Linked DNA regions of Drosophila melanogaster. The protein of the gene in region 2 purifies or fractionates together with the protein of the main gene of each other region. This does not show direct contact. Each region holds a gene or a part of one and is shown on either strand. Other genes may lie near its edges.

Evidence for each region. The genes of interacting proteins can lie anywhere in the genome.
Region 1: the proteins of sun (region 2) and ATPsyngamma purify together in Drosophila melanogaster (affinity purification with mass spectrometry, with the first as the bait; one large-scale study listed by BioGRID). This does not show direct contact.

The regions. Positions count from the first base shown.
Region 1 is NT_033777.3:29,746,961-29,750,925, forward strand, and holds ATPsyngamma (ATP synthase, gamma subunit), read right to left. Parts: upstream 2,204-3,965; 5' UTR 1,864-2,203; exon of another isoform or gene 1,810-1,863; 5' UTR 1,788-1,809; coding exon 894-1,787; 3' UTR 755-893; downstream 1-754. Other genes in the region: IntS11 (integrator 11), read left to right, coding at 1-437; yata, read left to right, coding at 2,831-3,208, 3,268-3,491, 3,552-3,957. UniProt on the Drosophila melanogaster protein: Mitochondrial membrane ATP synthase (F(1)F(0) ATP synthase or Complex V) produces ATP from ADP in the presence of a proton gradient across the membrane which is generated by electron transport complexes of the respiratory chain.
Region 2 is NC_004354.4:15,847,250-15,851,067, forward strand, and holds sun (stunted), read right to left. Parts: upstream 2,010-3,818; 5' UTR 1,916-2,009; coding exon 1,887-1,915; intron 1,768-1,886; coding exon 1,637-1,767; intron 1,099-1,636; coding exon of another isoform or gene 1,085-1,098; exon of another isoform or gene 1,049-1,084; intron 756-1,048; coding exon 730-755; 3' UTR 610-729; downstream 1-609. Other genes in the region: CG8578 (uncharacterized protein), read left to right, coding at 1-64; UBL3 (ubiquitin like 3), read right to left, coding at 3,115-3,179, 3,297-3,461. UniProt on the Drosophila melanogaster protein: Activates the G-protein coupled receptor mth in vitro, leading to increased intracellular calcium ion levels.

The DNA.
Region 1 (3,965 bases), on a different chromosome or scaffold from region 2:
CAGTAGATGCGTCCGTTTCCCTGCTTAAAGCAGAGGCCCGGTCCTACAACGCCCAGCCACCGGATCCCAAGAGGCGGCGACTAATCCATGGCGTCCTCGTAATGAAGGACAATCGAATAATGCTGCAAAACCTAACCGATGCCCTGAAGGAAATCGGAATTAATCGACATGTTATGCGATTTACATCCAAGGTCAAAATGGACGACTCCGGACCGGTCATTCGCACAAGCGAAAGACTGAAGACTCTGCTCGAAGAAAAGCTAGCCGGCTGGACGGTGACGATGCAGGAGAACGGCTCCATAGCCATCGAATCCGTTGAGGTGAAGGTGGAGGAGGACGAGAAGGATCCCAAGCAGAAGAACATTTTGATATCGTGGACCAACCAGGACGAGGACATTGGAGCCTACATACTGAATGTGCTGCAGAATATGTGCTAGGCAACGAAGAAGCATCCCATTGAAATCCCACGCCTTAATTCCATAGATAAGCACAAAGTGTAGATACCACCAATTTCTGAAAGTTTAAAGAGTATCAAAATATACATAAACGTTCCAATAGTTTTTTGGTCATTAGTCATTGCCACTTGAAATTTGAGACTTTATGCACATTAAGTTATATCAATGGGTCTTTGCATAAGAATGCAATCGAATCCCATGATATCAATGTGTAAAAACCAAACAGACCTGTGCAAGTGCTTTCAAATTCCTTGCCTCCCACTCCAATTAGGTAAGGACTCCATGGTTAAAGTTATTTTCGTTCGTTCCACGCTATTTATTCTGGGGTTTTTCTGAAAGAGTAACATTACTAGGGCTCCAGGCGTAGCTCCAGGTGCCTGGCACCATATGCAATTAGCTGTATGAATCGTTAGAGCTGTTCGAACACATTCCATTCGCTTATGTGAGGGCGGCGGCACCGGAGATGATTTCAATCAGCTCGCGAGTGATGACCGCCTGTCGGGTACGGTTGAAGGTGAGGGTCAGCTTGTCGATCATCTCACCGGCGTTCTTGGAAGCGTTGTCCATGGCAGTCATACGGGAGGACTGCTCCGAGCAGGCGCCCTCCTTCATGGTGTAGAAGATGAGCGAGGCCAGCGAGAACTCCAGATAGCTCTTGACCACGTCGCTGTCGAGCGAGTCGTAGACGGCCAGCTTCTCCGACTTCTCCACGGTGGATCCGCTGAAGATGGGGAGGGTGGAGCACTGGTAGGACACCACCGACTTGAAACGGTTGTACACGATCTTGCCCTCGGTGTAATCGTAACCGGTCTGCAGAACCTCGTTGGCAATCTTCGAGGCGTCCAGGAAAGTGGGGGGCAGTCGGCCCACCTCGTTGGCCACCATCAGGATGTTCTTGCCGTACAGACGGGACAGAATCGCGCGCGACTTGTCGCCCACGCAGAACACCTTAGTGTTGGCCTCGTCCTGGGCCAGTTCGCCGCGAATGAGACGGGCCACACCAGTGTGGACGGCACCGCAAAGACCACGGTCCGAAGTCACTGCGATGAGCAGCTTCTTGGGCTCCGCCTTCTCGTCCGGCTGGATCTCCGTCTTCTCGAAGAACTGCTGGGCGCCGATGCCGTAAGGACGAGCCGCCTTCAAGTCTCGCTCGGCACGAGCGTACTTGGCAGCGGACACCATCTTCATCGATTGCGTAATTTTCTGAATGTTCTTCACCGACTTCAGGCGGATGGAAATCATCTTCAGGGTGGCCATGCCACGCTGCTGCTGGGCCAGCATGGTGGCCTCCATGGCCAGGGGCAGCAGGAGCTGGGTGCGTTGCATCATCATCCTGTGAGTTGTCGAAGATTCCCTGTCGCGAAAATTAGCTCGATTCACTCGGCAAAAATTGAGAAAATTCACCTACCTTGCGTTAAGTTGGCTGCGCCACAACGAGTGTTATAACACCGAGCAGAGTTGCCACCCAGTTCGGGTTAACGCGGTGGCGATTCGTGGTGAACGGTAAAATATTATATTAAATAATTTATTTTAATTATGGAAATTTCGGATAATGGATTTGTGCTACATATAACTATTAATATTGGATAAAATACAAAACTTCTTTGGAAAGCTTCAGAATGCACAATAAAGCTTGAAATTAATTTGAATTTATGTAACTCATAATTATGACAATAGAGTTAAAAACAGAATAATAATTGATAAGGATTAAGAGGTTTGCCAAAGATGCCAGCTTGTTTTCTACCCTCGACCAGAGTTTTCCTTCTCCTTGCCAGCTCTGTTTTGGAATCAGCTGCTCACGCACGAGCCACGAAGTTCCGTCACTAACGCCTCACGCAAAAAAAAGCTGACGTACTCGGGAAAAAGATTAGGATAATTCGACGGAGACGAGCGCCCGATCCGATCTACTGACTCCCCCGACCCGCAGCAGAGCCACATAGACACGATCGCCCTGTCCAGGACACCCGGGATCCCAGGGATGAGACCTCTGGGGACGAAAAACAGCGGATAAGTTAGCTGTGTGCGTGTGTGTGTGCGTAAGCAAAGCTGGAAAATTGTTGCTGCGCATCGGAGGAAAATAAAGGACATCAGGCGGCTGGATTGGCATGAGGAGGATAGGGCTCAAGCCAAGGCTAAAGACAGAGGCATAGTGCTTGAGGATAAACCGAGAATCGGGGCTCCACCGATTTCAGTGCCTTTGTGTGGCAGCAACAAGGTGTGCGTGTGTGTGAGTGCGTGCGTGCGTGTGTGCGTGCGTGTGTTGCCTGCGCAGTGCGTTGTTGTTGCAGTTGCAATCGCCAGTTGTTGCTGTTGTTGTTGCTGTTGCTGTGTGACACAACAGTAACAAAATATTGAGCCGCCGAGCAAAACACATAATGTGGTCGTTCTTCTCGCGCGACTCCTCGAAAGACTTCCCCTACGACATTGGCGAACCGGTGGGCGGCTTTGACCAATACTCCATATGGACGCTGCACAAGGCCAAGCGCAAGACGACGCTGGAGGAGGTGTCTGTGTTCGTCTACGACATCCGTAGCGGATCCGACACCAAGTGCGAGCTGGCCAAGGCGGCGCTGAAGCGCCTCAAGACATTGCGTCACCCCAGCATCCTGCAGTATCTGGACTCGCTGGAAACGGACAAGATGTTGTACGTGGCCACCGAGGCGGTGGATCCGCTGGGCACTTACTTTTCCAAGCTGGGCAGCGACAATGTCCAAAAGGGCCTCTACCTGGCCTGGGGCATCTTCCAGATCACTGTGGGTATCCATATCCCTGATATTTTGCCCTAGCTAACCAAGTCACCAATCCCTTTCAGCGCGCCCTGTCCTTTCTCAACAACGATGGCAATCTGCGACACAACAATGTTTCCGCCTGGTCGGTGTTTGTCAATGCCTCCGGCGAATGGAAACTGGGCAGCCTGGAGTACGTCTCAGCGGCGGATGGTAATCCCATGCCGCCCGCCAAAATACCTGTGACCCTGGAGGTCTACGATTCCCCCGAAAAGAACGATCCGAGCAAGCTCAAGGCGGCCACCAAATGGTACGTAATCCTCTCACCTTAGACTATTTTAATAATCCTTCAAATCGGATTCTCTACCAGCTCCGTGGACATGTGGGGCCTGGGCTGCCTCGTGTGGGAAGCTTTCAACGGTGTGCTCAAGCAACGCTCCAACCTCAAGGATATAGAACACATACCCAAGTCCCTGCAATCGCTCTATTGTGAGCTGGTTGGCGCCTCGCCTTCGAATCGTCCCAACCCGGCGGATATAATCACACGTTGCCGCAAGCCTGGAGGCTTTTTCAAAAACGATTTGGTGGACACACTGCTCTTCCTAGAGGAGATCCAAATCAAGGACAAGGCGGAGAAGAATCGCTTCTTCAGTGGTCTGACCACGCATCTCGACAACTTTCCGGACAACGTGTGCAGGCATAAGATTCTTCCACAGCTGATAACAGCCTACGAGTACGGAGATGCGGGCTCTGCCGTGCTGGCTCCCATGTTTAAGGTTGTCTA
Region 2 (3,818 bases):
CCATTTGTTGAAACGCCTCGATAAGTTGAAAAACGCAAAGAGTGCCATTCTAAAGGACTTATGATCTAAGATGGGAAATGCAATCTCGCCAACCATTGAAGGATCGCACCCGATGACATAGGAAACGCAAGTACACGACATCATCAACACACAAATCAACATGCTGCAATTGAAATAGCACTTCGGTAGCAATTTAATCGGTCTTAGTGGTAGCAAATCGATAATTTTTGAAGGATAATCCAAAATACTCTACCTTAAAAATATATATATATATATATTTAAATTAAAATATAAACTAACTGGATAATAATTAACATAAATAATGTCTATATGTGTATATTTAAAGCGCAAAATATAAGTAACAATTCAATTGGTTCAGCATTATGTGTATAAAATCATTCTATACAAATATGCGTTGACAAAATTATAGCAAGAAACCTATCACTGATCCCAATTAAAAGGCTTCTGGTGAACCTGACCAATAGTTCTTTTCAAAATTACAATATTCTATTGAGTCTATATTTAAATCTTTGCTAGAAGTCCGTTTCATCGGTCGCGATCTCTAAACGGAACGCCCAAATAAATGCCACATTTAAGAACAATTAAAATCATCGTGTTTAAATAAATTACATTTATTTAATTTTATTTATTTTTCATGATTTTACAACATTGCAGCTTCGGCGGATCTTAGTTGTTGCGAATCATTCTCGAGTGGCCACTGAAAAGCATCTAGGATTCCGATTGGGTTTGACGCTCTGCGGACAGAAAAATGGCAATAATCAGCATTTGCTTTGGATAATAGTTTTTCATCACAAAGAAATAGTTAATAGTTGGTCGCTTGTAAACTTTTGGGGCGGGCAATTTTGGGATATATATATGTATATTAATATAAACATTATATTATATGTAAACACATCGCATTTGCATGCAGATCAGCTTGTAAGCGTAGTTAGAAACTTTGGGAACAAAGTTAGATACATAAACTGTCGTTGAGTTTAATGCGAACGCTGGGATAATTTGGGTTTTGTCTGCCGCGGCAGGCACTTACGCCAGTTTTTAAATTATTAATTTGACGATGGAACACCTAAGCCCTTTCATCTGAAAAATATATTCAAATATGACGCAATATGAAACATAAATTCTATTACTTTATGGAGCGTTTGTCTTGAAGGAATGGTAAGCAATTTTGCCTAATTTTGTTTCGATATTCCAATAAGTTACGAAAATTTTGAAATTAAAGTTTTAGAAATGGTTTGGATGAGTATGAACGCTTCAATGTTGATGATCAGGATTTAAACAGATTGCAAATATATATGATATATGCAATAATATACGAATATCTATAGATGGGAACAGTTTTTACACGCGATATTACGCCTGTAAATTGGCAACATTTTCGGAGTAAAGTGGGAACACGAGTGAACCGTTCATTTTTCGGTATTTTTCACATTGCCATTTCGAAACGGGGCTTTTTTCCGAAACTTTTGGGTAGAATACCGTGTGGAAACCACTTGTGGATGACTTCGAAACATTCCTAATAACACATTGATAACGGTTTCCCCTTGGATTTCGAATTATCCGGAGTTAATTTATATAATGGCTGCTATTTGGCCGTCTAAAGTATTATGATACGTACGAGCTGGCTTGCCATTTGCCCAGGGAGTGAACTTCACATGGCTCGCGTCGCGCTTGGCGGCATCCGCACGCAGTCCCGTCTTCAAGGACTCGCGCAAAATGCGAGCGGCGATGTTGGAGTATTGGATGTAGCTGCAATCGGTAATATTTGGATTAATTATGTTATGTAATCGGGCAGCAAAGGCGTTTTTATTTGCATGAGAATGCTGCCACAACACAGCTGGTGTGGCAGGCACTTATACAATGCTTACGTAATTCCGGCAGCTCTCCAGGCAGTCATTGTGATCGGTTTATTCGAAATATATTCACGCTACACAAAAAATATATAAGATATTCCCTTTCTGAATCCGGTCAGTGTGGCCAACTAGTTTTTGAGAGTTAAGTCAGAAATATACCGTCGATTGTCGCACATATACCTTAAATACTAGCTTACGCGCGTCAAGATAGCGACGACGACTGTGACTTCTGTTATTGAACATACACACTGTTAGTAACATTTGTTATCGATATCCAAACTCAAACTTTTCAATATTTAAAAATCTAATTTACTTATTTTTCTTCCTTTGGGAAAAACCCTAATAAATATGGATATGCCAAACTGTTTTATTCGAAAGAACGAAGCTTGTTACTTATTCATGCCTACACAAATAATTAAGCAGACATTGTTTAACGTGCCTTGCATAAAGCATTTCAAGAAAAATTGTTACATTAAACCATCAACTTAAAAAAAATATTCCCCAATTTTCCTTGAAATTTGTTTTTAGTTCTAGGCTAATTAATCAAATAACCACCAATGCACCCAAAATAGGATAAGCTAAGGATATATTAGATTATTTATTTATCATTGACTTTAAGTTAGACTTTACAGATAATATTTTAAAACTTAACAGAAGAAAACACTTAAGTTCTAATTAAATGTGTATATATACAGAACAAAAATTTCTTTAATATTCTTTAACGCATTAAAGAATCGATCTGACAAGTAATTGCTGATTTTATTTAGTTTTTCGGTAGACGCACACTTAAAAGCAGAACGCAATGGGAAAATTACTTATTCTTGCACATAATTAGTTTTCAATATTTTCGACATATTTGAAATAAGTGTTGTAATTACCCATTCTCTAATTAGGTTAACAAGTCCGGTTTCTAAAAGCAATTAGCATTGTATTCGTATATTACATGTTATAAATATGCAGTCTAGCAACTTTAATACAGAGTATACGCATTTTGCACATGCTCATGAATTCCTGTGTGGTATATATATAAAATATATATTGTATGTACATTAATAGTTGAAACAAAGCGCCTTGTTGATCCAGACATACATTATTATAGTTTAATAAATATACTTCTGACTGCACAAAAATGTAATTTATACATTCATATTTGTTTTTATTTCGGTTGTGGGTGTTTTTTTTTTTTTCTTTTTTCTTTTAATGCAAATTAGTTTAAATATTACGCTATTATATAATAATTTAGTTACAAAATAGAGCAATTTGTCGAACAGCATCGTCCAGAACCGCCTTTACTATTTTGTCTTTGATCTAAAAGAGGAGGAAAATTCAGTAAGATGTTTTTCGTATGCATTGCGAATTTAAATTTGAGCAGCTCTTTATAATTGAAACCATATTTCTTTTTTTTTTTTTTTTTTGAAAACCTACCTTGTGAATTGGGCTCTGGCAAATTATCACGTGGCACTAAATGCATAACAGTCGTTTTGCCTAATGGAAGTCCCAGTGCTCCTAAGGTTACATTGCAATGAAGAAAACGACCTTGATAAATTAAGCGCAAGATTTCGGCTTTCGACACAGTTTCGTGGGTCCAATCTGCAAGATATATGCACAATAATGTATTACATGGGTTTTCGCATCAAAAGTCTAACTCTAAAAGCAAAACAACTAAGAAAGAATTGATTTTAGAGGCCAACAAGCTGACAATATTTAAACAAACTTCAAAAGTCGCATTTATTTGAAATATCCAATAGATGCCATAAATATTAAATATTTCGTGGGTTGTATCCTTGTATCCTTGTGACTATGATTAAAGCGTTCTCAAAATAAATGCAGTTCACGCGAAAGGGTCAATAGCATGCCATTTAGAAGAAATATGTATATTTCACTCTATTTGTATTACGTAGCTTACATACTTAATCGTTAGTGATTAAAAATCATTCGCCGACAAAC